Linked DNA regions of Lonchura striata. The protein of the gene in region 3 purifies or fractionates together with the protein of the main gene of each other region. This does not show direct contact. Links are inferred from orthologs where the notes say so. Each region holds a gene or a part of one and is shown on either strand. Other genes may lie near its edges. The genes, in order: BCL7B, DPF2, SMARCE1 and BCL7A.

The links.
Region 1: the proteins of SMARCE1 (region 3) and BCL7B purify together in Homo sapiens (affinity purification with mass spectrometry; 3 studies listed by BioGRID and IntAct, counting the BioPlex papers as one, with this or other methods). This does not show direct contact. The link is inferred for Lonchura striata from reciprocal best matches to the Homo sapiens genes SMARCE1 and BCL7B.
Region 2: the proteins of SMARCE1 (region 3) and DPF2 purify together in Homo sapiens (affinity purification with mass spectrometry; 9 studies listed by BioGRID and IntAct, counting the BioPlex papers as one, with this or other methods). This does not show direct contact. The link is inferred for Lonchura striata from reciprocal best matches to the Homo sapiens genes SMARCE1 and DPF2.
Region 4: the proteins of SMARCE1 (region 3) and BCL7A purify together in Homo sapiens (affinity purification with mass spectrometry; 4 studies listed by BioGRID and IntAct, counting the BioPlex papers as one, with this or other methods). This does not show direct contact. The link is inferred for Lonchura striata from reciprocal best matches to the Homo sapiens genes SMARCE1 and BCL7A.

What each region holds. Positions count from the first base shown.
Region 1 is NC_134622.1:786,576-794,161, forward strand, and holds the start of BCL7B (B-cell CLL/lymphoma 7 protein family member B), read right to left. Parts: upstream 3,003-7,586; 5' UTR 2,953-3,002; coding exon 2,861-2,952; intron 2,548-2,860; coding exon 2,472-2,547; intron 1,754-2,471; coding exon 1,657-1,753; intron 755-1,656; coding exon 518-754; intron 313-517; coding exon 233-312; intron 1-232. Other genes in the region: TBL2 (transducin beta-like protein 2), read right to left, coding at 3,630-4,086, 5,035-5,187, 5,815-5,941, 7,058-7,209. UniProt on the Homo sapiens protein: Positive regulator of apoptosis. Plays a role in the Wnt signaling pathway, negatively regulating the expression of Wnt signaling components CTNNB1 and HMGA1.
Region 2 is NC_134638.1:227,771-235,075, reverse strand, and holds the start of DPF2 (zinc finger protein ubi-d4), read right to left. Parts: upstream 3,019-7,305; 5' UTR 2,954-3,018; coding exon 2,922-2,953; intron 551-2,921; coding exon 390-550; intron 1-389. Other genes in the region: uncharacterized protein LOC110478861, read right to left, coding at 6,474-7,305. UniProt on the Homo sapiens protein: Plays an active role in transcriptional regulation by binding modified histones H3 and H4. Is a negative regulator of myeloid differentiation of hematopoietic progenitor cells. Might also have a role in the development and maturation of lymphoid cells.
Region 3 is NC_134627.1:6,813,738-6,821,195, reverse strand, and holds the start of SMARCE1 (SWI/SNF-related matrix-associated actin-dependent regulator of chromatin subfamily E member 1), read right to left. Parts: upstream 3,014-7,458; 5' UTR 2,890-3,013; intron 2,158-2,889; 5' UTR 2,114-2,157; coding exon 2,107-2,113; intron 1,595-2,106; coding exon 1,551-1,594; intron 1-1,550. UniProt on the Homo sapiens protein: Involved in transcriptional activation and repression of select genes by chromatin remodeling (alteration of DNA-nucleosome topology).
Region 4 is NC_134620.1:12,285,024-12,291,997, forward strand, and holds the start of BCL7A (B-cell CLL/lymphoma 7 protein family member A), read right to left. Parts: upstream 3,005-6,974; 5' UTR 2,869-3,004; coding exon 2,777-2,868; intron 1-2,776.

The DNA.
Region 1 (7,586 bases), on a different chromosome or scaffold from region 3:
TTTCGCACACCCCCATATCCTTCCCTCACACTTCAACACTTGATCTGAACCAGGGGATAAAGACCAAAGCTCAGAAAACCAGGAGGTTCTGGGAGCTCCCAGGGGGCACTTTGGGACTGCAGAGCAAGTCCATCCACCAAGATGCTTCAGCTACAAGAAGTAGCAACAATGGTCAAAGGGCCAGTCTGGGTCCAAGCACATTTAGAGATGGCTTCAATCCCCCTTCCCTTACCTGAGTCTCAAGAGGGACTGGCTCTTCCTTTGTGAGAGTGGGAGGCTCATCTGCCACTTCTGAGGAAGGCAGGGAGGGCTCTGGGGAGAACAGGTGGGTCAACAAAAATGCAGAGCCAGCACCCAGCTCAGTGCTGAACCAGGATAGAACACCTAGCTACAGAAGTCCCCGATGCCCTGGTAGCTTCCAGAAGCGCCAAGGCCACCCACCAGACCTGCAACAGCCCTGGAGTGGCCTTCCCTGAGCCCACCCATCTGCCTGCTCCCTTCTTGGCCCAGCACCCACCTTCCAGGGTCTCCTGCCCCAGGGTAGGAGGCTGCGAGTCATCCGTACGGAAGTCAGACGTGTGGGCAGGACTCATAGACTCACTCTGCTGAGGACTGGGGCTGGAGTTGGGGCTGCTGTCCACCTTGAGCTGGTATACATCAGACAAGGAGCTCTGGTTGCTGTTCTCATCTGCAGAAACAGCACCTGGTGAAGAAGAGCACCTTGACACAGCGGCACAGGCAGCCCAAGGTCCTGCTGAGATGGCAGAGCATGGTCAGAGAGTTAACCAGGGGATTCACTGTTCCCCGTCAGCCTAAGGGCTGTCAGGCACAGGACTGAGTCCTCCAGAACACAGTGGGAATCATATACATAACTGGCCATGGCAAAGGGAATGTTCCTGCCCTGGGAATGAGAACTGCCAAATTCCACATCTGCAGCTTGGGAGGGCCCTGGGCATCCAAAGAGCAGGAATCTCCTGCTCTGTATTAGGGTTTTGCTCCTTCTCTGTGAAGCAACACAAGGATTAATACTCAGCACCTGTCTCCCATGAGAAAGCAGGCCTGACACACACCTTGCCAAACTGCAGATCTGCAACATAACCCCACCACATCTCCTGAAGTGCCAGCAAATTCCTGATTTTCCTTAGCCACACACAGAGAAGGGGTTGGGGAGATGTGTACATTCTATTTCAGCAGTGAGTCTTGCTCTGCCAGAGCCTCTCCTGGCTGCACCACAGTGCCTAGACCAAGAGCAAGGCCACGGAGAGCCATTGCCCCTTCACCCTAAGGTCCATGGAAATAACTGTTGGAAAAGCAATCTTGGCTACAGGTGGCTACTGGACTCTCCCAAGCAGAGAATGGAAAGGGGTGATCAGGAAACCCCACTCCTCTAGTCAGCTGTGAAGCTTCCCACAAAAGAGTCCAGAAACAGCCCATTAAGAATCTCTAACAGCAAAAAGGAACAGTTTAGACAGAAACAATCCAGAAGTGGATCAGCCCAACTCCACAGCTCAACTTCATAGCTCTCTAGTCCACACCAGTGCTCAGAGGCAAGCACTGCTCTTCTCCATACAGGCAGCACAGAGAACCAGCAATGTCCCAGCTGCTGTACAGCCTTGGAGTCTTTCCCCATGCTGAAGGGAGCTCAGCCAGACCCACCTTGGAACTCCAGAAGGAGGGAGGAGTTGGCAGAGGTGTCAGCTGGGAAGCCATTGGGTTCTCGGGCCGTGCTGCTACTTGATTTGGATTTCTCTTTCTTAAGGAGAGAAAGAAAAGCACAAACACAATGTCAGAGAAACACATGCTGCTCCAGAGGAGCCATTCCCCTTTCTGTCTCCAGAAGCCCAGAGAGATGTGCTCAAGCTGGCCTTTTTCCCTTGCCTTTGGGGGCACATTCCTAAGTGAGAGGAAAAAACTCCATCTATGAAGGGACTGGAAAGCAGGAAAAGAGAGGAGGAGCAGACGCCCATCTAGGAATGACACTGAGTAAAGCAAATCCTTGGAGGAGTCAAGCAAAGAGTCTTAAGGGAAGCAGGAGGGGGCTCAAGGGAGCTCAGGGGGCTTGACAGTTCAGGGGATGCTCAGGTTGGCTGAAGGGGCCTGTTGGGGCTGGGAGGGGGGCCCAAGAAGGCTCGACAGGGACTTGGTGGGGTTCGGGGTCAGCTTGGGGGGGGATCAGGGGCTTGGGGGCGCTGGGAGGATCACAATAGGACAGGAGGGGCTCGGTGGGGCCTCAAAGGTCCTCAGCAGGGCTGGGAGGGCTCAGCGGGGCCTCAGGTGCTGGCTTGGAGAGGGCTCAGGGATCGACCTGGAGGGGACTCAGGGGGGTTTGGCGGCGTTCGGCGGAATCGGGAGGCTCAGGGATGGCTCGGTGGTCGGTAGGGCTGGGGAAGGCTCGGAGCTCAGCTGAAGTTAAGGGAGCTAGGCTGGCTGTGGGCGGTGGCTCCTGGCTCGTCTCCGCGCGCGGTACCCACCTCCTTACTGTCCGCCACTGGCACCCACTTGAATATCCGCAGGGACGTGTCACCCACCGTCACCCATTTCTTCTCCCTGCGAGACACGAGGGGGCCGGGCCGGGCCGGGGCACCATGGCAACAAGCCCCGCCCCCCGCCACCTTCCGGTTGGTCCGGAGCGCCGTCAGTTCCGCACCGGGCGGGCTGCCCCGCCCACCGCACTGCCATTGGCTGCACTCAAAGCCCATCACAGCCGCTTCCGTCCCCGCCCCGACCCCATTGGCCACCGCCCCTCCGCCCGCACCCGCTGGTTGGGCGCGCACTTCCGAGTCGCACCCCGCGGCGCGGCGATTGGCCGCGCGCGGGCGGCGCGGCCCTCCCCCTCCCCCCCCCGCGGGCCCGCCCTCACCATCTGCGGACGCGCTCGATGGCCGCCATCACCTTCTTGATGTCATCTTTGGCGCGGCTGCGGGTCTCGGCCCGCACCGAGCGCCCCGACATGGCGCGCGCAGCCCCGCAGCACCGGCCCCGCCGCACCCGCCGGCGCACCCGGCCCCGCGCACGCGCACTGCCTGGCCCGCCCGCGCGCTGCGCCTCCTGCGTCACCGCGCCCGACACGCCCCGGCTGCTGCGCCTGCGCAGACGCACGCGTCTGACAGCGGGCGCGGAAACGACGCGCGCGGGAAGCGGCGGTGCAGCGGTGGTTTCCCGTGGGGCACGTCCCGCTGCTCGATTCCCCCGAGATCCCGGGCCGAGGGAACGGGGCCACCCCGAGTCCGCTGCACCGTTACAGCACTGCCCCGTTCCCTGCAGCTGAATCCCTACCGTTCAGTATCAACACTGAACTTTGTCAGTTCTCTTGGAAAAAAAAAAACAAACGAAACAACTAACCATAAAACCTACCCCAAATGCACGCAACTCCCAATTCTAAGCTCAGGAGAACTCATAGGCATTGCCTTAGCAATCAATTCCATGGGATACTGATGATCTAAGCCCTGAGGGGAAAACAACACATGAATGTGACACTAGGAGATGCCACTGTCCCCAGCCCTGTCTTGCCATCACAGAGCACGCAAGGAAGAACCTGGGCACTCTGTTTATTATTGCTGTTCACAGTTATTTAAAAAAAAATAACACCCCCAAGGGAGAGTGCAGTTGCCTCCTGCTGTACAGGTAGCTTAGTACTTCTTGCCATAGATAGCAGCCAATGCTTTGTGAGCGCTGGAGATCTGCTGCTCCAGCCTCTCCTGCATGGCTTTGTTGCCAGTTTTTTTCAGCATGGCCTCCATCTCCTCCACCACAGCACGATGCCCAGCAGCGTTGTGGAAGACATGGATAGCACGATCCCCACAGGACACGATATAGCGGCCGGTGGTGTCAAACACAAGGTCTGTGACACAGTGGCTGTGCACGCCAAGAAAATGCTCCTCCTCCTCACCGTGCCGTGTGTTGTACACCACGATGTCTGTGCCGCCCGCCACGGCGACCGTGCGGCTGTCAGGGGACAGGGCAATGCGGCATGGCTCCGGCACTGCACACTGCCCTGTCAGAAGCAGATATGGGTCCTGCTGCTTCTTGTACTCCACATCTGTGTCCCAGAACTTCCATGTGCCATCCTTTGACACGGTTGCCATCCTGCAGCCAAAAGAGATCACGGTGAGTGTGTGGAAAAAGGGTGGCACCTCTTACCCTGCCCTGCCCATGAACCAGGAATCCTGTGGAGAGAGATCTCTTGGGAAGGGTGAGTCAATACACAGATACAGTCTCTGTTCTCTTTCCAAAGCAAAAAACCTACTACTAGACCAGGCTGCTCCAAGCTCCTTCCAATACAGCCTCAAACACTTCCAGGGATGGGGCAGCCACATCTTTTCTGGGCAACCTGTGCCAGGGCCTCACCACCCTCACAACCAAGGCTTTCTTCCTAATGTCCCACCTAACCCACTCTCCATCAGTCTGAAACAATTCCCCCTTATCTTGTCACTTCAGGCCCCTGTAAATACTGTCTCATCTTTCTTGTCAGTTCCCTTCAGGTCCTAGAAAGCCACAATTACATAACCTGAAACCTTCTATTTTCTAGGCTCAGCAATTCCAATTCTCTCCACCTTTCCTCATACCAGACCTGCTCAATCCCTCTGATCATGTTGGTGTCTCCTCTAGACTCACTCCAGCAGCCCCGTGTCCTTCCTGTGCTAAGACCCCAGAGCTGGAGGCAGCTCTGCGAGTGGGGTCTCACATGAGTGGGGCACAGGGGCAGAATTTCCCTCTCCTTTGTTACCCATGTGCTGTTTCTGGGCTGGGTCATGTCCATCTCTCACCTACCAGCACTCCCAGGCTGCTCTCAGTCTGTTCATCCCCAGCCTGGATTGATACCGGGGGTTGCCCTGATCCAGGTGCAGCATCAGCACTTGGTCTTGTTAAACCACATGAGATTCCTATGAGCAGGGAATACATAGGTGGCATGAGCTAGATTTGGCTCCCCAGGGTAGTGTTTTACCCCCTGCAGTTTAGTGATGCAGCTGGTGAACCCTGGAAGAGATGAGCTTACATGTTGTTAGGGTAACTCGGAGCAGGTAACACACATACCTTCTTGAGTCATTGGAGAAGGAAAAGGATTGTACACCAGCAGTGTGGCCTTTCAACTCAAAAGCCCTGGTCACCTCCCTGAAGTCTCCGTTCTTACTAAAATACACTTCCCACACTTTCACATCAGGGGTAAAGCCACAGGATGCCACAAACCTGTGTGAAGGAACAGAAGCAGAGACACAGGTTGCCTCTTAGAGAGAACCTGAGCAAGGCAGGGCCACAGTTCTGCAAATCCATCCTGACTCCTGCACTCAAGCTGAATTTCCACTTTTCTCTGAAACCTAGCTGGTAAAGGGAACACTAAGGAAGGGTACCAGAACAACTCAGGAATGAGAAACTCTTCGGTCAAAGTAGAAGAGCTAAATGCTATGGATCCCCAAACTCCTCATGCCAGGAGCAAGGCAAATCCAGCTACAGCAGCAAGTGATTTTCCCAATTAACAGATTTCCCAGGAAAATAATCTTTATTTTTATAATTAACCTTTAAGAGGTCACAGACAAGTTCAAAATGCTGTTTTCTTTGCAGAGGGCATTTGCTCTGTCCCACCCCTGCTACCTGAGACCAAAGCTGCTCTCAGGTTACCAAAACAGCAGTGCTGAGGCAGAATAGCAACACAAGAGTGCCTGACCCCACATCAGCTCCATCTCCTGGAGGGCCAAGATATCTTTTTAAACTGTGGAACCCTCAGAAAACTGCATTGCAATAACAATTAACTGCCAATGGTCTGAACTGATGCTATGCTGTGCAAAAGAGTAGCCTGGAATCCTGCCTGTCACTCACCTCCCACAGGGTGACACTGTGGCATAGGCATTGTTCATCTGGTTGGTGTTAATGCTGGCCAGGACTTTGCCCTTTGGGCTCCAGATCAGGATGGTTGTGTCACTGGAAGCTGTCATGATAAACTTCCCTGGGGAAAAAAAGGCAAAGTTCAGGAGAGCCCCCAGACCTAACACTGCCACAGACTCAATGAAGCCCCAGGATAACCTCTCCCTGCAGCTGGAGAAAACCACCAGCAGCACCAAAATCCAAGGAGTGTCAGTCTCCTAGGACAGAGTAAAGAGCAGTATCAGAAGACTCAGCTCCTGGTTATGCCTGAGTAGTCCCCTGGCTCCCAAGCAGGCAGCAGGCACTGAGCCCATGTGTGCCCTATACTCAGGACTCTGAGCCCCACAAGCAGAGCTGGGAGCCCCATGTGCAGCCCCACTGGGCTGTGCCACATACAGGAACAAACACTTCACCTGATCTGCATGCCCAAAATCAGCTTGAGGATAAGCACCTTTCAAGCTATGGATTGCAGGCAGGCAACTGAATCCCAGTCACAACCATGATCCACAGACCACGATCCATTATTGCTGGTTGTGCCCATACTGGACTCCTGCTTGTTCCCATTTCCCCTTTGCCACTTCAGCCCAGGCAGGGAGTTGCCTGTTTACCTTCCAGCTACTTGTTGCAGGTTTAAGTTTTCACTTTCACACCCCCAGTTTCAGTTAATATTTTACCTGACCTCCTATTACAGAGGTGAATTCACATCCACCTGCTCCCAACTGCCACTGGCACATACCTGACACATTAATCCATCAAGCCCTCACCACTAAAATGTAATTTCCACCCACCCACCCCCACCTCTGTTCTAGATGATCCCAGAAGCTCAAGGTAGACCATATTAACTCACTAGAGAGATTTCTCACTGGTTAAAGAGAGACTGGCAGCCCAGAGAACAGCAATCCTCTCAATATTGAGGCCAGACCTCTTTGCAACAGCATCTCTGAAAATGTAAATTAAGAAACTGTGCATATCAAGGAGCTGGTTACAGGGATATTATTGGTGTGAAAACAACACCTTTTGGTTCAGTTGGTAGCAAATTAAGTAAAAAAATCCCTAATAGACTACAGAGTTTAGTACAGAGTTTAGTACTGATGCTGTACACAGCCCCGAGAATGCCAAAAACTCCAACACTTTGAATCAAGCAGCTTCACAAGGAAATAAAAGCTTATCTGGAGAGGTGAGCAGCTCATTTCCATACCTGTCTCTGCAATCCCTATGTTAATGACAGGAGCCTTGTGCTTCTTTGGGAAGTCCCCAGAAGTCGCAGTGAAGGTGAAGCTGCCATCATCCTTCTTGGTCATCTTGTAGACGCGAATAGTCTCAGCATTGGCCAGCCAGACAATGAAAGCCCTGTGGAGGGACAGGCTCTGAGCCCCAGCTCAGCCCAGGTCACTCAGGGGCACCTGGGAAGAGGGATATGCTGCCAGATGAAAGTATTTACAAGGGCACCAAGTTCTCTCCCTGTGTTGGTTCAACTGCAACACTGAATGAAAAAGAATGAAATTTATTATCCATACGAGGAAACAAGATCCCTTTCTCTCTTTCCAGAAGAGACCACTTCAAAAAGCCAAAACACATTCTTCCACCAAATTTCCCACCCAGCAAGAGCTCCCCTGGCCACTGGAGAGACTCAGTAGCACATTGCAGCTGCAGTCAGCTGGCAGTGACCTCAACAGATACCTTCCATGGGGGCAGCAAGCTGTGCACAGGGATATTTGGCCTGAAAA
Region 2 (7,305 bases), on a different chromosome or scaffold from region 3:
CCCCATCATTTCCCCATAATTTCCCTGTTGTTTCCCCATCATTTCACCATTGTTCCCCATCATTTCCTCATTGTTCTCTATCATTTCCCTGCCATTTCCCATCACTTCCCCGCCGTTTCCCCACCATTCTCCCATCACTTCCCCACCATTCTCCCATCACTTCCCCACTGTTCCCCATCACTTCCCCACTGTTTCCCATCACTTCCCTGCCGTTTCCCATCACTTCCTCACCATTCTCCCATCACTTCCCCACTGTTTCCCATCACTTCCCTGCCGTTTCCCATCACTTCCTCACCATTCTCCCATCACTTCCCCACTGTTTCCCATCACTTCCCCGCCATTTCCCATCACCGTTTCCCCGCCGTTTCCCCGCCGTTTCCCCGCCGTACCGGGCCCGCGGTGCCGTTTCTCCATCCAGATGTAGCAGTTGCTCTGGGCCACGCCGGTCTGCGAGTCCAGGAAGGGCAGGCGCACGCTGCGCTCGGCGCAGAGCCGCGCGTTGTAGCTGTGGCACTGCTCCATGGCGTCCCGGTAGTACTGCTCGCCCAGCCTGCAACGGCACCGCGGCACGGCGGCGTTGGCGCCGGGAACGGCGGGATTGGCGCTGGGAACGGCGGGATGGGCACAGGGAACGGCGGGATGGGCGCTGGGAATGGCGGGATGGGCGCTGGGAATGGCAGGGATGGGCACAGGGAATGGCAGGGATTGGTGGTGGGAACGGCGGGATTGGCGCTGGGAACAGCGGGATTGGCGCTGGGAATGGCAGGGATGGGCGCTGGGAATGGCAGGGATGGGCACAGGGAACAGCGGGATGGGCACCGGGAACGGCGGGATGGGCGCTGGGAACGGCGGGATTGGCGCTGGGAATGTCAGGGATGGGCACAGGGAACGGCGGGATGGGCACGGGGAATGGCAGGGATGGGCGCTGGGAATGTCAGGGATGGGCACAGGGAACGGCGGGATTGGTGCTGGGAATGGCAGGGATGGGCACAGGGAATGGCGGGATTGGTGCTGGGAATGGCAGGGATGGGCACAGGGAACGGCGGGATTGGTGCTGGGAATGGCAGGGATGGGCACAGGGAATGGCAGGGATGGGCACGGGGAATGCCGGGATGGGCAAAGGGAATGGCAGGGATGGGCAAAGGGAATGGCAGGGATCAGTGCTGAGAGTGCCGGGATTGGCACCGGGAATGCCAGGATGGGCACTGGGAATGGCAGGGATGGGCATGGGGAATGCCAGGATAGGCACTGGGAATGGCAGGGATCAGTGCTGGGAGTGTTGGGATCGGCACCGGGAATGCTGGGACTGGCACAGGGAATGGCAGGGATGGGCACGGGGAATGCCGGGATGGGCACAGGGAATGGCACAGGGAATGGGAGGGATTGGCAAAGGCAATGGCACGGGGATTGGTAGGGATCAGTGCTGGGAACGCCGGGATCGGCACCGGGAAAGGCGGCATGGGCACGGGGAACGGCACAGGGAATGGGACGGGGAATGGCAGGGATGGGTACAGGGAATGGCGCAGGGAATGGGAAGGATTGGCACAAGGAATGGCAGGGATTGGCACCGGGATTGGCAGGGACGGGTACAGGGAATGGGGAACCTCTCAGGGATGTCAGGGATACCAGGGGAGTGTCAGGGATACAAACGGAGAGACTCGGGGATAAAATCCTGGAGAATATCAGGGATAAACCTGGAAACCCTCAGGGACAAAATCCTGGAGAATATCAGGAATAAACGTGGAAATCCTCCGGAATAAAGTTTCCAATTTCCCATTCCTTGGCTTCTTCAGGACACTCTCACAGGGGCGGGAAGGGAAGAGATGAAGCCAAGGGATGGACAGGAAAACACAGGGATTTACAGGAAATACGGGGATTTACAGGAAATACAGGGATTTAAAGGTAAATACAGCAATACACAGGGAAATACAGGGATTTAGAGAGCAATACAGGGAATTAGAAGGAAGCACAGGAATATACAGGGAAATGCAGGGATTTCGAGGGAGATACAGGGATTTTGAGGGAAATACAAGGATTTCGAGGGAAGTACAGGGAAGCTCCCCCCAGCTCGGCCTCCACAGGACCCTCTGGCAGGGATGCACAGGGAAGCAGTGCAGGAATAAGCAGGAAGGTACAGGGATATTCAAGCAGTGCAGGAAAAAGCAGGAAGGTACAGGGACATTCAGGGATATTCAGGGACATTCAGGGATATTCAGGAATATTGAAGGAGGCACAAGGACTCTCCAGGGGTGCACAGGGAAGCAGTGCAGGAAAAAGCAGGAAGGTACAGGGACATTCAGGGATATTCGGGGATATTCAGGGATATTCAGGGATATTGAAGGAGGCACAGGGACTCTCCAGGGATGCGCTGGGAAGCAGTGCAGGAAAAAGCAGGAAGGTACAGGGACATTCAGGGATATTCAGGGATACTGAAGGAGGCACAGGGACTCTCCAGGGATGCGCTGGGATGACTCCCCCGTCCTTGGCCTCTCCAGGACGCTCGCAGACGGAGTTTAGGGCCACACGAGGGAGCACAGGGAAGCACAGGGATACGATCCAGGGAATTTTCCAGGGGCGAACCCCCGCCTTTGCCCTCTCCAGGACCCCCTCAGGGCCAGACTGCGGGACCCCCCCGGCCCCTCGGGACCCTCGCAGGCTCTGCTCTCCCCTCACACCTCTGCGGCCCTCCCGGTGCCGGGGGAGGATTTTGGGGTGTCCTCAACGCCCCCCTCAGCAAAGTTCACGGCGAACAATGCGCGCGTGTCGCTTCCTCCCCACCCCCCTGCCCGCCCGCTTGGTCCCGTCCGGCGCGCGCGGGGCCAAGGGGGGGCCCCGCTTCCCGCGCCCGGCCGGGCCGCACCATTCCCGCGCCGCGGGGGGGAGACCGGCGGTGTGCGGGGAGGGGGGGGAGCCGCACTCACAGCTTGACCACATTCTGAACCACCGCCGCCATCTTGGCTCCGCCGCCGGGGCGCCGCGGGGCGCGTGCGCGGAGGGAGGGGCGGGAGGGGCGGGGAGGGGGATGATGGAGGAGGAGGAGGAGGAGGAGGAGGAGGAAGGAGAGGGATGGAGGGAGGAGGAGGAGGAGCGGGGAGAGGGAGGGTGGGGAAAGGGGAGGCGGAGGGAGGGAGAGGGAGGGCCGGGGGAAGGGAGCGCGGAGTCCTCCCGGCCGCTGGGGGGCGCTGTGCGCCGCGCGCGTGCGCGGGGGGGGGGGCGCGAGAAAAGGCGGGAAAAGGGGGAGTGGGGGAGGGGCGAAAGCCTGAGGGGAAAAATGGCGGGAAAAGGATCTGAGGGGGGAAAATGCACGAAAAAGGAGAAAATCCGGGAAAAAGGGGCGGCTGAAGGTACGGGGAGGAAGGGAGGGCGTGGGGATGAGGGTGGGAGGCAGAGTGGGGGATACGGGGGGAGACTGAGGGGAAAAATGGGAGAGAACAAAGCACGAGAGTGAGGCAAAAATGGACAGAAAGTGAGGGCGGAAATGATGGCAGAGGATGAGGGGGTTTATCGTGGAAAAAGGAGATTTGAGAGACCGCACTGCTCCCTAGATTCCCTGGAATGGGGCTGGGGGTGAGATCCCTTCTCCCCATGGATAAAACAAAAGGAACAGCCCCGAGTTGTGTCAGGGGAGGTTTGTTCAGGAAAGTCCCTGGAAAGGGTTGTCCCACCCTGGGGTTATCCCAAAAAAAGCCGGGATGTGGCACATGGGGACGCTGTTCAGGGGTGGCCGGGTTGGATTTTGATGATCCCAAAGGTTTTCTCAGCTTTTCCATGGAATGGGGTGAGAAGAGGGAGGATGGGGAGGGATGGAGGAAGGAAGGGATAACATGGAAAGAGGGGTGAGGGTTGGGAGGGAAATGAGGGATAAATTGGGGATGGGGGAATGAAATGAGGGATGAACAGCTGGGAGAGGGGAAATGAGGGATAAATTGGGGATGGGGGAATGAAATGAGGGATGAACAGCTGGGAGAGGGGAAATGAGGGATAAGTGAGGATGGATCCCTCAGATCCCCCCAGATTCCTTACGGCTCCTCATCCCCAAAAACTCCTGCCAAAAGTTCCCATTGTTGAGCTCTTTTCCCTTTTTCTCCAACCTGAATTAACCAAGTGTCCCCAAATTCATCCCTCAGGACCGAGGTCACCCACAGACCCCACGGCGAGCGTGGTTTGATGGCAGCTTCCAGGTGAGTTTTCCTTTCCAGGTGAATTCCTCATTTATTTCCAGGTGAATTCCACATTCCAAGTGAGTGCCTCAATTCCAGGTGAATTCCCCATTTATTTCCAGGTGAATTCCTCTCTCTTTTTCCTCCTTATTTCCACATCCTACCTGGGTTTTTTTTTCCCTGTTTGCTGGGAATTTGCGTTTCTCCCCCAAGGTCACCCCCTGGTCAAACCTTCCTCCTCCTCCTCCTCCTCCTCCTGGTAATCCCAGGCCGGCTGTTGCTCCGGCTCCGTTCCCGGCTCCGGCCACGCCGGGGGTCAGGCACTGACCGCTGGCGTGGGCGGCGTTAATCCAGCGGAAATCCCGGGATAACGAGGAAATTGGGAGGGAGGCCTGTGCCCCTGCTGGGGTTAATGAACGATTCCATCCTTGATTGAATCCGGAGTTATTCTCCAAAAAGGGAGGGGGAGCTGAGTCAGGGCTGCTCCGGATGACTCAAATTCTTGGAATTGGGAGCAAATCAGCAGCTGTGGTTTGCATAAATCATTAATTCGGGGAGTGATTAATTAGGGGAGAAGTGAAGGAGGCTCCAATTCTGTGGAAAGGGATCCCAAATGATTTATTCATTAATTAAAAGTTAATTAAGGAATTTGTTTTTTTTTTTTTTTTCAGGAGATGAGATTGAGGGAAAAAAAACATTTCAGGGATAATAACACTAATTTTGGGGATAATTTCAGGGGTTTATAGCAAGTTGGTCTGGGGGGTGTGGGAGGGAGGGAAGAGAGAAAGGAGGGGAGGGGGGGAGAAAAGCAAAATCACCTTTTCAAGGTTAAAAAAACCCCAAATTTGATAAATTAAAGGAGCTTTTCCAGGACTGGAGCAGAGAGAACAGAAACGAGTGAACGAGATCCCAGATTAAAGCTGGAGCACCCCAAAAGTCAGCCCTGGGTTGTGGAAGGGAAAAAACCGGGACACAAAAGGGACAAAACAGGAAAAAAGGGGATTTTGGCTGATTTTGATTATTTCGAAACCGCTCCGGCAGCGACGGTTTCGCAATTCCTGGGCCGAGGTGGGGCACAAACAGCTCCATCTTCAAATCACTGATTAAGGTGGAAGCCAGGAAAACTGGGGTGAAATCCAGGAAAAAAAGTCCATCCACATTGTCCCAGCCCAGCTCGCGCTGGAAAACCCCCAAACCACAGAAATCCACCCAAAATGAGCCGTGCTGGGCTGGCTTCCCTTCACGTTGGTCCGAGTGGCAGCTGTGGCGTGTCTGGAGCCACCTTCCCATCCCAATCTCTGGGGTTAATTAATCACAAATGTCCCGAGGGTTAATTAATCGCAAACGAGGCTCTGAAACGGCTGGAATTGATTTGGCGAGGAAAAATCCCAAAATAAATAAAATGTGGACAGAGTGTGGGGGGAGAAAAGAGTTCAGAGCAGGGAAGAGTTGGACCAAATAGAAATTAAACCTGATCGAGCCCAATCAACCTCGGTCTGCTAATTATTTTACAGACGAAAACGTTGGGAAATAGGTTTATCCCCAAATTCTGGGTGTTTGCACCAAAAGCGGTTTACCGACGCAGAGGGGGAGGGGAAGGAAGAGGCGGGACAAGGGTTCGTTAAGGAGAATCTAATGAGTCATTAGTCAGATAATCTAAATTAGACTCGCTGGTCAGGAGGGGCCCGACTCTGCCCTGGGGGGATCCCGGCCTCATTCTGGGCTCAAACTCCCCGGAATCGGGAAAAGATGGAATTTGTGACAGGAGCCTGGGCAAGGAGGCCCCGCGAAGTCACCGGCAGCGTGTCCAGCTGGGTTTTTGTCCCATTCCCCAAAATCCAGCTGGAATTCCCCGTTCCCGCCGCTCCCAAACAGTCGGCGGCGGATCCGTCGGCCCGGATCGGGATTTTGGGTTGGTTTTGCGTCTCCTCGAGGATTCCCAGCCCAGCCCCGCTCCTGCCGGCCCCAGAGGGGTTTTTTGGCCCCTCCGTGGATTGAGTTCCTAAAACAAGAGCCCTGCTCCTCCACGGGGACTTTTGGCTTCTCCACGGGGAGTTTTGGCGAGATCTCCCGGGGGAGATTGCCCCGTCTGGGATTTCCAAAGGATTTCACGGAGCAGGAGTTGAAGTGACGGCGCCGTGACGGTTCAGAACAAACCCCGCTGCGCCCCCAAATCCTCCTGGCCGGAATCTTTGGGAATTCATCCCAAAAGAGGAATTCATCCCGCGGGGTCCGACGGACACGGGGTCGCGTTTCCAGTGGTCAGCTCTGGCACTGAGGAGAGCTCGGGGGTTCTGCCCTGAGGGCGAACCCTCACCCGGCGAGAGGAAAGGCGGAAAATGAGCTGGAATCCAAGCTGGAATCCGAGCTGGGATCCGAGCTGGGATCTGAGCTGGAATCCGAGCTGGGATCTGAGCTGGGATCAGAACTGGGATCTGAGCTGGGATCTGAGCTGGAATCTGAGCTGGAATCTGAGCTGGGATCCGAGCTGGAATCCGAGCTGGGATCCGAGCTGGGATCTGAGCTGGGATCTGAGCTGGGATCTGAGCTGGGATCTGAGCTGGAATCTGAGCTGGAATCTGAGCTGGGATCCGAGCTGGAATCCGAGCTGGGATCCGAGCTGGGATCTGAGCTGGGATCTGAGCTGGGATCTGAGCTGGGATCTGAGCTGGGATCTGAGCTGGGATCTGAGCTGGAATCAGAGCCAGAATCTGAGCTGGGATCTGAGCTGGGATCTGAGCTGGAATCAGAACTGGGATCTGAGCTGGGATCTGAGCTGGGATCTGAGCTGGAATCAGAGCCAGAATCTGAGCTGGGATCTGAGCTGGGATCTGAGCTGGAATCAGAACTGGGATCTGAGTTGGGATCTGAGCTGGGATCTGAGTTGGGATCTGAGCTGGGATCTGAGCTGGGATCTGAGCTGGAATCAGAACTGGAATCCGAGCTGGGATCCGAGCTGGGATCTGAGCTGGGATCTGAGCTGGAATCCGAGCTGGAATCTGAGCTGGGATCTGAGCTGGAATCCGAGCTGGAATCAGAACTGGGATCTGAGCTGGAATCCGAGCTGGGATCTGAGCTGGGATCTGAGCTGGGATCTGAGCTGGGATCCGAGCTGGGATCTGAGCTGGGATCCGAGCTGGGATCT
Region 3 (7,458 bases):
CCTCATGACATAAGCCACTGTTTTACTACAGTTTTTTGTATTACCATAACAACAGGCTTTGAATATGTTGAACTACAGCTCTTCAATAAAACCAGGTGACAATTGTAATCGCCGTCTGCTTATTTCTTTATTTCTGCAAGACAGGATTTAAATGTTACCAGGAACTACCTTACATCAGGGAGAACTGCACGGAGAAATTTTATTTCAGGTACAGTACTGCAGTTTTGAGAATTACTGAGATTTTGTTGACTGCAGCACCTGGAACTGGCTGTGGAAGAACAAGCAAGGTTATTTGGCTACTTTGTGACAGAGCAGAGACCAACACATGAAGGACTGTATAAAATATAATACAAAATAAAAGATGCTTGTAAAACAGGCAATGCAGGTCACTGGTTGCAGTCCTGGCATGTGCTTCATGTATCCTTCTGAAGAACTGTACCACATCAACATGAACCATTAAACATCTGTATTCATGCTATATCCCAAAGGAATCACATGTGTATGCACAGCTCTCGATGCAGGAATCCAGTGGTCAGAGGGGATCCATCATGGTCCTTCTAACACTGCCACAGATCTATTTTGCTGTGTGTAAAATGAAAACTCTGAGCAAACTATGAAAATCCAGTTTTATTTATATAAACTTATAAAAACATAACTTGTATTTATGTACTATATAATTTTCGAACCTCTTCCTGTAAAATATGGCACAAAAAATTTGAAGGATCACATTCCTTCTAACTCCCATCCTGCAGAGATCAAGGACACACTACTGGGTCACAGTCTTCCAATTCACTTTGGTAAAAAAAAAAAATCACTGTAGAATCTTTCCTCAACCTTCTGTACAAAGGATTTCTCCTAAAACTCAAACTACCCACAAATGTGACCAAAGATGTGCATTTATTTTCAAACAGTTCCTGCCCATGGTACACTGCTACTGCAGCACCTTTGTACATCCAGGAATGTCACTGGGCGGGATACAAAGCTCCTGTTCATGTTTTCCTCAGTGTCAGGGCATGCCACTTTACTAGAAAGTAAAATATTTCCCATGCCCTAGACTCCAAAATACCAGTGATTTCAAGGAATGCAAGACTGGCATCAGGAGTGTTTCATTATTCTGATCCAATACAACAGGATGCTTCATAATCCTGCATTCCACTCAATTGGAAAAAAAAAAAAAAGCAGCTCAGTACAACTGAACTGTGGAAAAATGCACTGTCTGCCCATGATCTGGGCACAGGCTGAGTAGGACATTTTACAATCAAATGTACCAGTTGATTCTTAACTATTCCAGTACTGCTGCAACCCACTGTGAGTCACTTGAGAGAAGTAATGCTCACAGAAAATTCAGTCTGTAAGATCCAGCCTTAGAGGCAAAACAAGTTTATTCGGCTTCTCTTTCCCAAACTTCTCAAAAATAATTATATTAATTTAAACAATTCATAGCACATTAATATCGTGTTTCCCATATTGGAAGGTGATGCAACTCCCTAATTATTGTTCTGGGAAGTTACTAAAGGCCTTGTGTTAATGAGAAAAATCACTATACTTACGGTTGCAGGAGCTGGGGTGGGAGGTGGGGCATAGGATGGCCTTTCTGTTAAGACAGAAATGTAAGCACATTTTTTTTTTCCCCTTGAAAATCTAAACGAATTCTTAAGGCATCTGCTATGGCCAATATTTTCAAATGATTTTACAAAACAAGCAAATTTTACTCTGAAAGACTTTGCCTTTTGCCACTGAACAGCAAAAAGCAACACTAGAAAAAGAAAGAAAAATTGAAATGCTCCTATTACTCTAGTCCCAGACTTTTGTTCAAGCACAAGACTGAAGAATATGAAATTCATTTATATGCACATCAATTACATGGAGGGAAAGCAAAAATACAGTCCAATAGGACTCAGAAGCTGTGATATCTGGATTTCCTACAAAAACAATATGCCAGGAATTGGCCACAGAAGGATTTAAGGCCAAGAGTTTAGTTACTACACTTGCTAATTTCTTTTAATGCCAGGAATAATGGCACCATCTCACAAACAGGTTCCACGGAAACAGATCTGTAAAACATCAAAGCTAAAGAAAGAAAAATCTTAAAAAAAAAAAACTTACTTGACATTTTGATAGTCAAATTTTCAGCCACCTGACATTATATTTGTACTTCTGCAAGACAAAAGAACAACATGCTAATAAGTGTTGTGCCTTTCCCCCCACCAGTTATTTGAAGCTTCGATTGTTATTGATACCAGTGATTATAAAAGTTCGTCAATTTTGGAATACAGACAAAAGCATTCTCAGAAACCAAGTTGTTATCTCTTTGAAAAATTAATGGATTTTCCAAGGAATCTAAAAAGCTGTGTAAGAGCACACAGCTTTAGGTCACCTTCATATTAAAGGGTCTAAATGAATATATTTTTTGCTGTAAGGAATAAAAAGAACATATCCCATTATTTTACACTCACTGATTCAGAAATCTGATATCGATATGTAAATGACCAAATTATGTATTTCCTTTACAGAGTACATACAACAACCACCGAGCCCCGCAGCTGCGGTCTGACAGGCAATTCTTAACCTTTTAGCACCGAACCCGGGAGCCCGTCAAACAGCGCTGTAACGAAGTGCCTTTTCGCCGTTTCTCTCCAAATCACGCCACGGGCAGCTGCAACCTCCTCCAGAATCCCTACTAACGACGTGCACCGGGCTCGCACGTAGGGCTGGCTTGGGAGATCCAGCAGAGCCTCTGCGGGCCCAAGGCGGCCACCGGCGGGGTCCCTCGGTCCCACCACTCCCTCCCCGGGCTCAATGGTCTTCCCGAGCCCCGCAGCGCTGCCGGAGAGGGGCCGGGGCCGTCCCGAGCCCCCCGGCCGGCCCCGCCGGGCCCCTCGGACTCACCCGCTCGGCGCGGCCGCGCTCCCTTTGTTCCCACGGGCCGGGGCGGCGGCGACGGCGCCTGCGCACTCCGCTCCGCACTTTCGACACGCGGGCCCCGGCCCGCCGGTGATCCCCTACTCACTATGGGGGGCCCTCTTCGGCTGCCCCGCGCCCCACCGAGGAACCAGGGCCGTCCCCGCACCCTCCGGGATAGCGGCGATTCCAGGGGCCGCGGCGAATCTGCGGGATGCAACCCGAGCGCCGCGCGCGGGGCGGCACCGCCCGCCATTAGCGGCACGGAGGCGCTGCCTCGCGGGGTGTCACAAGGGCTCCCGAGGCGCCCTAGAGACGCAGTGCTCGTCCCCTTCCCCCGCGCCGGCAACCCCGGTCACGGTGCCCCGAGTGCTGGCTGCCGGTGGCGAATCTGCAGCGCAGAACGGGCGCGCAGGGACGGCCTGCGGACGCTTCGTGCCCGCTGCGCTTTAGAGCCTTTTCCCCCTCACGGGCTGCGCGCGGCCCCTGAGGCGATTTTGGCGCCTTTTCCCCTCACGGGCTGCGCGCGGCCCCTGAGGCGATTTTGGCGCCTTTTCCCCTCACGGGCTGCGCGCGGCCCCCGAGGAGATTCCCCCTCACGGACAGGTACCTGAAATGTCCTGGACCCTGGGCTGCCCTGAGTCCACGGAAAACGCTGCGGGGTCATGTCCGAGCCCGAATAATATCCAATAAAAGCAGCGATGGAGTCAGGTGAACCGTCCGTGGTCTGTGCAGAGTGTGGTGCCGAAAGGGCTGTTTGGGATGCTTCCAGAGGCGGCTGAGTGGAGCAGGATGAGCCCTGAGGGCAGCGGGAAGGTGCCGGTGTGGGAGAATGTCAGTGGAAGGGACGTTAGAGACGGCTGTGAAGGCAGCGAGATGGCCCCGGGTAATAAATATGATAATATGTGATAATTGTCAACTAAATCAGCCTGACCAACTCAAAACACTCTGCTGCTGAATCAGACAGGATTATAAAGTACCCAGTAGTCTGGGAGCAGTGGAATTGTCCACAATTCCTTGCAGAAATCAGCGAAGTTATCACACATAGGTAAAACCCCCACAAATACCAAACAAGGTGAAGCATATGGCTCTGAGGGTGTGAGGAGGATGAAGAGTTCCAGACCTCAGCATTCAGCTTTAAGAGTCTTTTACACTGAAAATAGTCAAAAGTGACTGAATTAAATATGAAAACTTTGGCAGTGAAACTTGAAATTGAAAGTTTGATGTTGAATGTTTGAGGTTGAAATGGAATGTTTGGCATTGAAATGGTCTCACGTGGCCAATAAGATGTATTTCTAGACATTCATGAGGGAGAATTTGGGTGGATCCGAAGGAAAGCCAAAGGAGATGGTACCTGCCTAACCCAAAAGGATGATAGAAGGTGAAAAGAAGAAAAACTAACTGAACATGACTTGCTGCAAGTTGGGGCCATTTTTCTTGATGCCTGCCAGTTCCACTGGCTCAATTTGTTTTTATGCTTAAATACACTTATTTTTATGAACAAATAAAGAGACAAGAGCTCTGCCCTCATCTGCTTAGATTCTGCTGACTGTACCCACAATGGACATTTGTTGCCATATAGCAGAATAATCTGTGACTTCAATTTGATATTAAAGCAAGAGTTGAAAAGGTTCCTCAGCCAACGAAATACAACACATTAATTCACCATCTTAACTGGGGCAGGAAAAGGTAAAGAAAAGGTGAGAAAATACATGTAAGAGGTGAAAGATAACCTGGTTTTCCTCCTGCTTTTGACTAGGTTCACCCTAGTTTCATACATTCACTTCTAGTTTACTAATAACATAGTTTTGTTGATAGTGTAAATTGCATTTAATGTTAAATTAAAAATTGAAAATTTGCAATTTCTATTAATTATTTTAACTTTTGCTTTAATTTTAAAGCAAAATTTTAAAATTTGAATTATTTAAAATGTGTTTATTTTTAAAACGGAATTGTTTATTGTGGTGTTCAAGTACATTTGTGGAAACTGACATTCCATACTAATAGTTCTAAATCATTATATTTTCAAAGCCATCAGTGTATTTCCTACTTTGTTTTATTCCCCCTTTTTTCTTCCTATGCTCTTTGCCTCAGTTCCATCATGTGATAGTGAAAGGTTTTACCAGCGTACACTTTTTAATATCCTGTACAATATATAAGTAGTTTTACTGATTTAATGGAATTGTTTACACTGCACTATGCTCACCAGCGGGGAATGTAAAAACTAATTCTTACCCAACAGTTTTAATTACCAGCAATTTCACAAGCTTTGGAATGAGGACAGACATTCACTGGGAAGTAGATTGAGACAATAAAACTCGTTTTTACATCAGCCGTTTGCAGGTGCTAGTTGGCAGAGGCTCAGCTGGTCTGGATTTAATTAGAACCACAGAAATTAAGACTTCTCTGCCACAGTATTAAGCTTCAGTGTTAATTTTTTTTTTTTAAATTCCACTTTAAAGTGACCTAAAAATGAGGGTGAGATGTTATTATTTTGATGCCTATGTGGAGTTCACGCTGATACTTGTGGAAGCCAACTACTTTGTGAACAAAAGAGAGTTCTTTACATTTGGAGAGATGGAATTTGTGAATAATGCAAAAATAGATAATTACTGAAAGATGTGAAAACTTAGTTAAAACCAAAATGCCCACTTGAACCAGGCCTAAAGTAGGAGAAGCTACTGAAGTCAGTGTTAGGAAGTCACACATGAGGAAAATAGCCAGGGTGACTGGATTTGCCAGGAAAAAAGAGTAAGTTTTGTAGCAGAAGGACACTCACATGTTATGGTAAAGATTCTGAGGGAATTTGTGTCTTTCTAATTGTGGAGAGGATCAGAGAAAACACTTGTTACAGTGCTACAGATTTTCCTATCTGCAACTTTTATTTTGCATTTTTCTTTTACTTTCCACTTAAGGAGAAGACATTGACACACACAAAATAGGCATAGAGAAACTCCATTTTAATACTTTTTTTTTTATTGTAGTACTATCATTTACTTTGGTAAATTTGTATCCCTGTTTAAAGTGCCTTAAAGCAATTAAAACTTAGTTTAAATTCAAGTATTGTAAAATGTACAGAGTCTAAGCACAAAAAAAAAAGCTGCATAGTGAAAATACTGGAGCAGGCTGATACATTCAGGATGCCAAGTACTCAAGTGGTAATAACATCAGCTCATGATTCAGGTTAAGGATAATTAGCGAGTTTGATACAGTACAGACAGGATGGGGCAATATTGATGCATTGTTCTTACCATGAACAAAGGATAGAAGCATAGATTAACTCTGAAAGGATCTGCAGTATCACTTTTGTGCACATGCCATAAGTAATAAGGCAGATACTGACACTGAAATCAATCCTTTACGTGCTGTTGTAATCCAGCAAATCCTCTGTGTGGATTCTCCAGACTCTGAGCCCCAGCAATCCCGGTGCTCCAGTGGGAGCAGTGACATCCATCCTCTTCAGAATCCTCACAAATAATCATTGTTGTCTTCATACAATCTTGTTTGAGTCTTTGTTTGAAATTTGTCCTGTAAGGTTTTAAAGAAGGATGGCTGTTCCTCTGTGTACCGGTGCAGGGTTTCTGTTGGGGTTTGTGTTTGCCCACAGCCACTTTGGGTAGGAGTGGGGAGTACTTAAGGGGTCTGGTTGAATTGTACTTTGAATTTGTAGCCCTTATTTTGCCCAGTCAATTTGAAGTAGTAACAGTTGTACCCTGGTGTAACAGTGACTTGTCACATGGACAAAATCAACAGTATCACTTATCGGTAGTGTTTGTCAGAAGAGAAATTTGTTGAAGATATTTTAATGCACATTGTTATAATAAAAAAAAATGGAATAGCAGTATTCAAATGATCGTTTCATTCCTCCCATTTGAACAATAAGAGAATAATTTCATTTGCCTTGGCTAAGAGACTTGTAGTACAGATGTGTGTGGACACATAAGAAAATGATTGATTTTTCAGGGGAAATTACTGCTTCAAAATCAGTTGAGCAATATGGCTAAAATGTTACTGGATTGTAACAACACTTTTAAAATGGATGTATAGGGATGTAGAGGTAAGATATTTTTGCTCAGTTGTTGCCTGAAAAAAAGGAATTTAAAAATACTAGCCACTTTTAAAAGAAAACTCTTTGTTAATAGTTCATGTATTTTAAGAGTATTTTCATATGTAATTTTTGCTGTTAGAAAGTATTATTTTAAAATATATTTCTAGAAGTATGACAGCTGTGATATAAATTATTGCAAGTATTCACCAGTCATTATATGAATGGAATATTGAATAATTAAGAGAAGCAAATAGGCATTTCTCATTTTTGGAAAGAGAAAACAAGTTCTCTTTTACAAAGGCAGAATATGTCAAACTATAAAGTTCTAGTTTAATTTTTGTAACACTTGGTGAAAATCTACAAAACAACAACAATGAGAATATGAAAGGGCTGCACCCAGAGTATAAAAGCAGTAGAAGTTTGGGTTTCTTGGAATCAGAACCCCCTTGCTGTTCACCCTTTCTTTTGAAGGACTTAAATGGTTTTATTGTATCGATCCAAATGCTTGG
Region 4 (6,974 bases), on a different chromosome or scaffold from region 3:
TCTGTATTTCCCCCCATTTAATAAATCAGACTTTGACAAAAAACAAGAGTGTCTTCAGTATTTTTCTAGTACTGGTTGAGGGCACAATAGTTTTTGTCCCTCTCTTCTTGAGAGCCCACTTGGAATCTACATGTACCCATCAACTTTTAAAGCCAAAAAAACAATCCTGTACCATTAATTGAGACAAAGTAATCTCAGAGGATTTTTTAAAATAGACTGACAGAAGAATTTTAAGTACTGGTAAAGAAAGGTAGAATTGTTCACTTACTGTGGAAATTTAACATTTCTGCCACACAAACACAAGGCAACCATGTATTCTGTAAGCCACGTGCTGCGTGTTTTCCAAAACAGATGCTCATTCATGAGCGTGGTTTAAACAAAGGAGATAAGGTTACAGTAATCTCACGATAAAAACATAACAACTTCACTGTTTACTACTAAGTTCCAGCAATAACCAGAAGTGCCACGTGCTCTGTGAGCAGACAGGAAGACAGAGGAGCTGCATCCAAGTGCTGGCTGTCCAGGAACACTGATTTTCTGAGGAACAAAGTCTGCCCTGATGGAAGCTGCCCTCCAGCAGGCACGTTCACATCCCTGTGGCAGCACAGGGATTCGGGAGCACCAAGCACAGGTGGATGATGCCTTGGATAAAGCCATCCTCCACTCGGATGAGTTCCCAGCCCCGTCTGTCTCCCTGCCCATCCCTGGCACGCACTGCTCTGAGCACACAAGTCTCACAAAACTCTCTTCTAGGAAATGCTGGACGCAAGGTATTTTAATTTTCAGTGGCTGCATTTCCACAGAAGAGCTGTGGATGGCAACAAATTGCTCCTATTATGCAAATGAAACTGCACACTTGGAAATTGCCGATGTGGCTCTTCTGAAGATGCAGGAATTGCTAGTGTGGAAAGTTCAATTTAACAAGCCAAGTCTTCTCAAAACACTGAAACCACAAAACACAGAATCTCTCTAGCTAATTTCCCGCTGTATTTGACTGCAGGTGGAGGGGGGGTAACCATGAGATTCAACTGCAAATTATGATTCCTTTAAAAATAAGAAATTTGCTTTATGTAAATACTTGTGAGGTGCACGCACAAAAAGTCATATTGATACTTCTGACAATAATCAACAGAAACACTGAATGACTTACAGGAACCCTCTACAGCAATTGTCTATCGTGAAGGTTAAAATGTAGAGAAATCTATTTATACCACAAGATTTCTGTTTTACAGAAAGAGCCATAGCAACTGGCATGATGGCAGAGAGTCCTTGCCAAGAAAAAAATAAATAAATTAGGTATTTTGTTGAATGGCCAAGCTTCTGTCTCTACTCCTCTCTGAATTCCACAAACCAGGATTCAAAGGGAGCGTGCAGAGCTCATGAATGAAATACCTACAGACAGAACAGTCCCACACATCCAACCACGCTCCAGCTGGAACAAAAGTCCTGTCACACCGCTGCACATTGTTCTGACCTTCCAAAGCCGGCCCAGCAGTCAGCAAACTGCACTTAAAAACAAACCCGAGTAGAAGAGAGTTCCTGAAACCACCCGAGCTGCTCCGGCTCCCTACACAAAGGCTGGATTCTCTGAAATCCCCGTCCCGTGCCCGGTGCTCCTGGACACACGTCCCGGTCCCGATTCTTTGTCCGGCTCACGCCAACGGGCCCATTCGTGTGCTCAAAGCCATTTAAAACTTAACAAACCATTTCACTCTAATACGAACACGTTCAACTCTATCTTTGGCTCTTTTTTTAACGAAAACAAAGCGTTAGGTGAGGAGGACAATAGAAGTGTCCCCTTGATTTCAAACCTGCAAACCAGCTGAATGATGCACAGTAACAATAATGCAAGGAAATTTCCTCGTGGATTCCAAACGTTTAAAGGAAGTATTTTAAGATACATGCACAGAGACTGCTGAACAGTCAGGCAACTTGCTGGAAGAAAGATTCACTCTTGAGTCACAGCGGCACTGCTCTTTATGCCATCCCAAATCCCCGGACCGACCATGCAGAGCACGGCGCGACCGCTGCACTGTATTGTTTAAACACCTCGTGTGGGTTTTTCTAACAAAAGCAGGGGGAAAAAAGACAAAAGCGGGGAAATGCCAAAACGCGCTGAAGGCCTAACAAAAGGGACTTACTTCACACGGGGTATAACCTATAATTTGATGATTTAAGAGAGGTTCCAGGGGCAGTTCGCGCTCTCTCCCGTAGAGTCAGTGGGAGACGATCGCGCTCGGGTTTGCTGCGCTTTTACGCACAAACCCCGGGAACTCGGGAGGTGAAATCAATCCACAAACAGGCAACGACAAAAAATAAACTCTCGGGAGCTTCAGAGGGGTATTCTTAACGTGTTTTCTTTTTTTCCAGAACACTTCTCCGAGCACAATTTCCACCCAGAAGAGCGGGCGGCGGAGCCACCCCGGGCCCGCTCCTCGGGCCCTTTGTAGGGGCCGGCGGCGGGAGGCGCCCGGCCCGACCCCGCCGCCCGCCCATGCCCGAGGCGCCCGGCCCGGGCCCCGCGGCGAGGGGCGGCGGGCCGGGGTCCGCGGGGAGCGGCGGGGGCGGCGGGGAGGGGGCTCGGCCGCACAATGGAGCCGCCTCTCGCCCTCACACGCCGCCGCCGCCTTCATGTGACTCGCCGGAGCGAAATGGCTGCTGGGTGCCGCCGGCTCCCCGCCCCCCGCGGCCGCCGGCGAGCCCCGGAGCCGCGCGGGGCCGGCGCGGGGCGCGGGGGACGCGGGCGCGGGGTCCCGGCGCGGCGCGGCCCGCTCACCATTTGCGCACTTTCTCGATGGCCGCCATCACCCGCTTGATATCATCCTTCGCCCGGCTCCGGGTCTCGGCCCGCACCGACCGGCCCGACATGCTGCTGGGGGGCGGCGGGCTCGGCGGGGAACGCGGCGCTCGGCGCGGCCGGCGGCTCGGTCCGTGTGTCGGGGCGCCCGCCCGCACAATGCCGGGGCTGCGCGGGGCTCGGCACGGCTGCGCTCGGCGGCTCCGCTCGGCTCCGCCCGCCCGCCCGGCGGGGCCCGCGCTCCGCGCACGCGCGCGGCCGGCGGGGAGGGGCGGGGCGGGCGCCGTGAGGGGACGGCGGGCGGCGGGAAGAGCGGCGGGGCCGTGAGGGAGCGGAGCGGGCTCCGAGCCCCGCGCGGCCCTGCGGAGGAGCCACCGGGCGGGAAGGAGCCCCCGCGGGGGAGAACCGGGAGGCGGCCGCCCGCCCCGCGCGCTTCCGGAGTTCCCGTCGCTGGTTTGCCTCGAGCGTTCGCTGGAGAGAACACAAGACAACGTTCTTTCCCCACTCCCACCCAGCTCAGGCCGTAAGTTACCCCAGAACTAAAAAGTTTTGCCGATTTCAGCTCGCCTCCACCCTAAAGGGTCAGCAGGAGCTGCCCAGGGAGGCGGTGTAATCCTTTAGAGAAAGACTGGATGTGGCACTTGGTGCTATGGTTTAGTTGACAAGGTGGTGACCCGTCAAGGGTTGGATCCCACAGATCTTTTCCAACCAAATTGGTTCTCGTGATTCTGTGATAATCCAACGCAGTCTAGCAGCATCAAGAGCTCAGTTACATTTTACCACAAAGAAAAATCCAGTCCTAAAATCCAGGGTTTTTACAAACCTCAAAACACTTTACATAGAGATAATACCTATTTTTGTACAGGGCAGTGACAAACATCCATCCTATCCTTGCACCAGTTGCCATGACAGACCTTGAACATGGGTATGTGTGATGAAGTCCCCTGTTTTACACGAAGCATAAATCCATAATCAGCAGATTTTAGGTTTGTTTCCCCAGTGGTTATAAAGTTTCTCAGCTGCTTTAACTAATTCCAGCAATATCCATTGAATTGGGCTGCTTTTGAGCAGTGGAGGCTCAGCTCCGACAGAAATCCATGGAATTACATGAGCATAAAGGCTAAATGAGTTACATGGGAGGTGATGCTCTGCAGGAAATTTGTCACAGACCTGCGAGCTCTGGTGTGGTACTGCTGGACTCCTTCATTAACTTCTCCCTAATGCACACCTTGCTGTTGTTGCTAATTGTACAATCACAGATGCTCTGAGTACACAACAGCGATCTCTGTTTAAAAAACATTGCTTCTGAAAGGAACGCTTCTTAAGGGCCTACATTATTATTCAAATTGATGCCAAGGATGATGTAAAGAAGGAAGCTGTTCAACAGCACTTCACTGATCTTTCTACAGCAACTTGTATCAGTCTCATTATGCTGTTTATACACACACAGAGTAATGCCGTCCCATTGGTATTACACTGCTAATTGGAATCTCTACTTTCAGAAAGAAAAAGTCAGTTTAAAGGCCAAAAGAGAAGCGTGGTTTTAATGTGTACCACAGCATTTATTTCTTTACCAAGGTCCATTGGATTTATAATTACAAATCCATTCTAACCTGTCAAAGCATTTATCAATGTATTTAATCAATACAATACTCTTACGTTGCTCTTTTGCTGTCAGGTTTCACAAATGAATACTGTCTTAACGTAATGAAAATAGACTGCATCTGGCATAAACCCACCTGAAATGACTTCTGGGAATGTTCCAGCCAAGGATGGAGTGGCCACCTGCTTCATTCTTTCCAGCCATTCAATGTTTCCCTATATAGGTGTGAAATTACAGGTTTGTGGCATGGCCCAAACTGGGGACTTACTCTAGAGTTTGACTGAAATTTAACTATGTGACCTTTACTTTGCAATAAACACAAGCCATAAATTTTGCAGATATTTGAGGAGAGGATCCTGGAAAGTAGGAATAAACAGAAAATCTAGTGGTCGCTAGATTCTGTGCCTTTGTAGATCAAAGATTCTTCTTTTTCCTTGTGTTCTTTTTTTCTGGTTCAGCAATAGGTAAGCCAAGAATGTCTGCAACAAATATCTCTGCTGTGATTTCTGCTGGAATTTCTTCTTCAATCAAAGCTGCTGCACCTGGAGAGCAATAACAGCATCAGAAGACACACAAAAGCCATGTCAAAATTGCTCTCCAGTAAAATTTATAAGCAGCAATAAGTGAATGAAATGTTTTTAAAGATGTACAAAGAGATCATGACAAAGTGACAGTTTACTAGCTTGATACTTTATGTGTTTATATCAGGAATTAAGCCTGTCAAATCTGTGTGTCTCACCTTGCAGCAGGTCCCTGCCTCAGACGAGTCATGGGACAACTTTAACACTTGGTCAATTTAATGTGATTTAGGATCCTGAGGGATCCAGGGATTTCAGAGTTTCAAAGTTCCCTTCAGGAGCAGCACCTTTGCTGCATGGCGCCCATTGCCAGTGACCCTAAACAGATTCTGTTCCAAACTGGTGGGGACTGGGACATGAATTGTACAAAAATGCAGTTCCAATTACAATGGGCAATTAAATTCAGCCTCTTGGCTCAAATCAATGCTATAATTTGCTGTTCCAGACTGGTGTGGACTGGGACATAAATTGCAGACAAATGCTCTCGTTACCAACAGCTCTGTTACAATGGGCACTGCGGCCTGGGTGAAACCAGCCCTGGGATTTCCCTGTGTGTTTCTAATTTCAGTTCCAGCCAGCAGATAAACAGCAATGTAATCTTGTCAGGCCCTAGTTATAGTTCATTGTCCATTTATTTTTAGATACACCCGTGCAATTGCTGCGTGGATGAAGGACAGTCTGTAGCTCTGTGACTATTTTTGCAATCCCATCTGAGCAGCTTTGACAGCTCTTGGCCTAACAGGGTAAATGGGTTTGAAATTTAAATTATTCCATTTGGGAATTAAACAGTCCTGCTTCTCTGCTGTGTGGAATGCTAATCCTGTACCTGTGGGATCGCAGGTGTCCAGTTCAGATCTTTCTTTCCTGGGTCTCCTGCCCAGCAGGGTGGTCAGACACTCAGCCAGCTCGTCCTCTGTCATCTGCTCCCCTGTACAAAATGGAGCACCACCACCGTTGGGTTATGGGGTCAATAGCACAAAAACTCAAAAGCAACTGCAATTAAACTAAACAGGACAGTTCAAAAGAGGACCTGGCTTCTCTGAGATAGAGACATATACAGTGCCAACTGAAACACATGATTCCAATGCAGGAAAATGTTGATCCTAAGGAAAATTGTCTTCTCTATAGCATTTTGGGGGAAAATGTCAATCAAAAGAAGAAATTATGATGCAGACTGCTCTTTAAGCAACACTGTAGTAGCAGGGGCTTGAGCTTCTCTTCCCACTGGAGAATTCCTGGCAGAGACCACAGTCCATGTAGCCATTTTCATGCAGAGGAAGAGAAAGGTGGAGAAAAGTCTTAATTTAGTATCTTGAAATAACATGGACACAGCACTTGTTCCCAGTTAGTGGTTGGCTCACGCCCTGGAGCATGAGGTTATAGATCTGTTATGAAACTGTTCTATCTGATGTACCTATTTATGGATGTTCACACCATCTGTATAAATAGCTAACCTTTCTCACACTGGTTGAATCCGTGGTTTCCAAGGATCTTTGTGGCAAGGAGTCTTGCCAAGTGATGTACTGAGTAAATCAGCATTTCCCTTTACCTGTTTTAATGCTCGGCTACACTTTTACACCAGAAGTAAGACAATAGAAGTTTGTTATTAGCACTCTATGGCACTGGCCACAAACAAATTAACACCCACGTTTATGGTGTTCTCCCTGATTCAGCTCAACTGAATCATCCCATCTTTTCAGTCTTTCACACTGGGTGCAGCCTAGGACCAATTTCATCCCTCCTTTCTTGTGTCCCTTTTATCCATTTTATACTACTTTTCCAGAACCTGTGTGACTAGAAGAGAAAACAGCAATTCAGATAAGGGCACACTGGGAGAAGGATACATTTTGCCAAGATCCATACTTATCATTTAACAGCTGAGATACCTCAGGCCAGCAGAGATTTCCAGAGCAGTAAAAGAAGCACAGCTGGGACAAGACAAGTGATTATTCAATTTAAAATCTGAAGGCAGGTGGCTCCTCACGCCTGCCCTGGT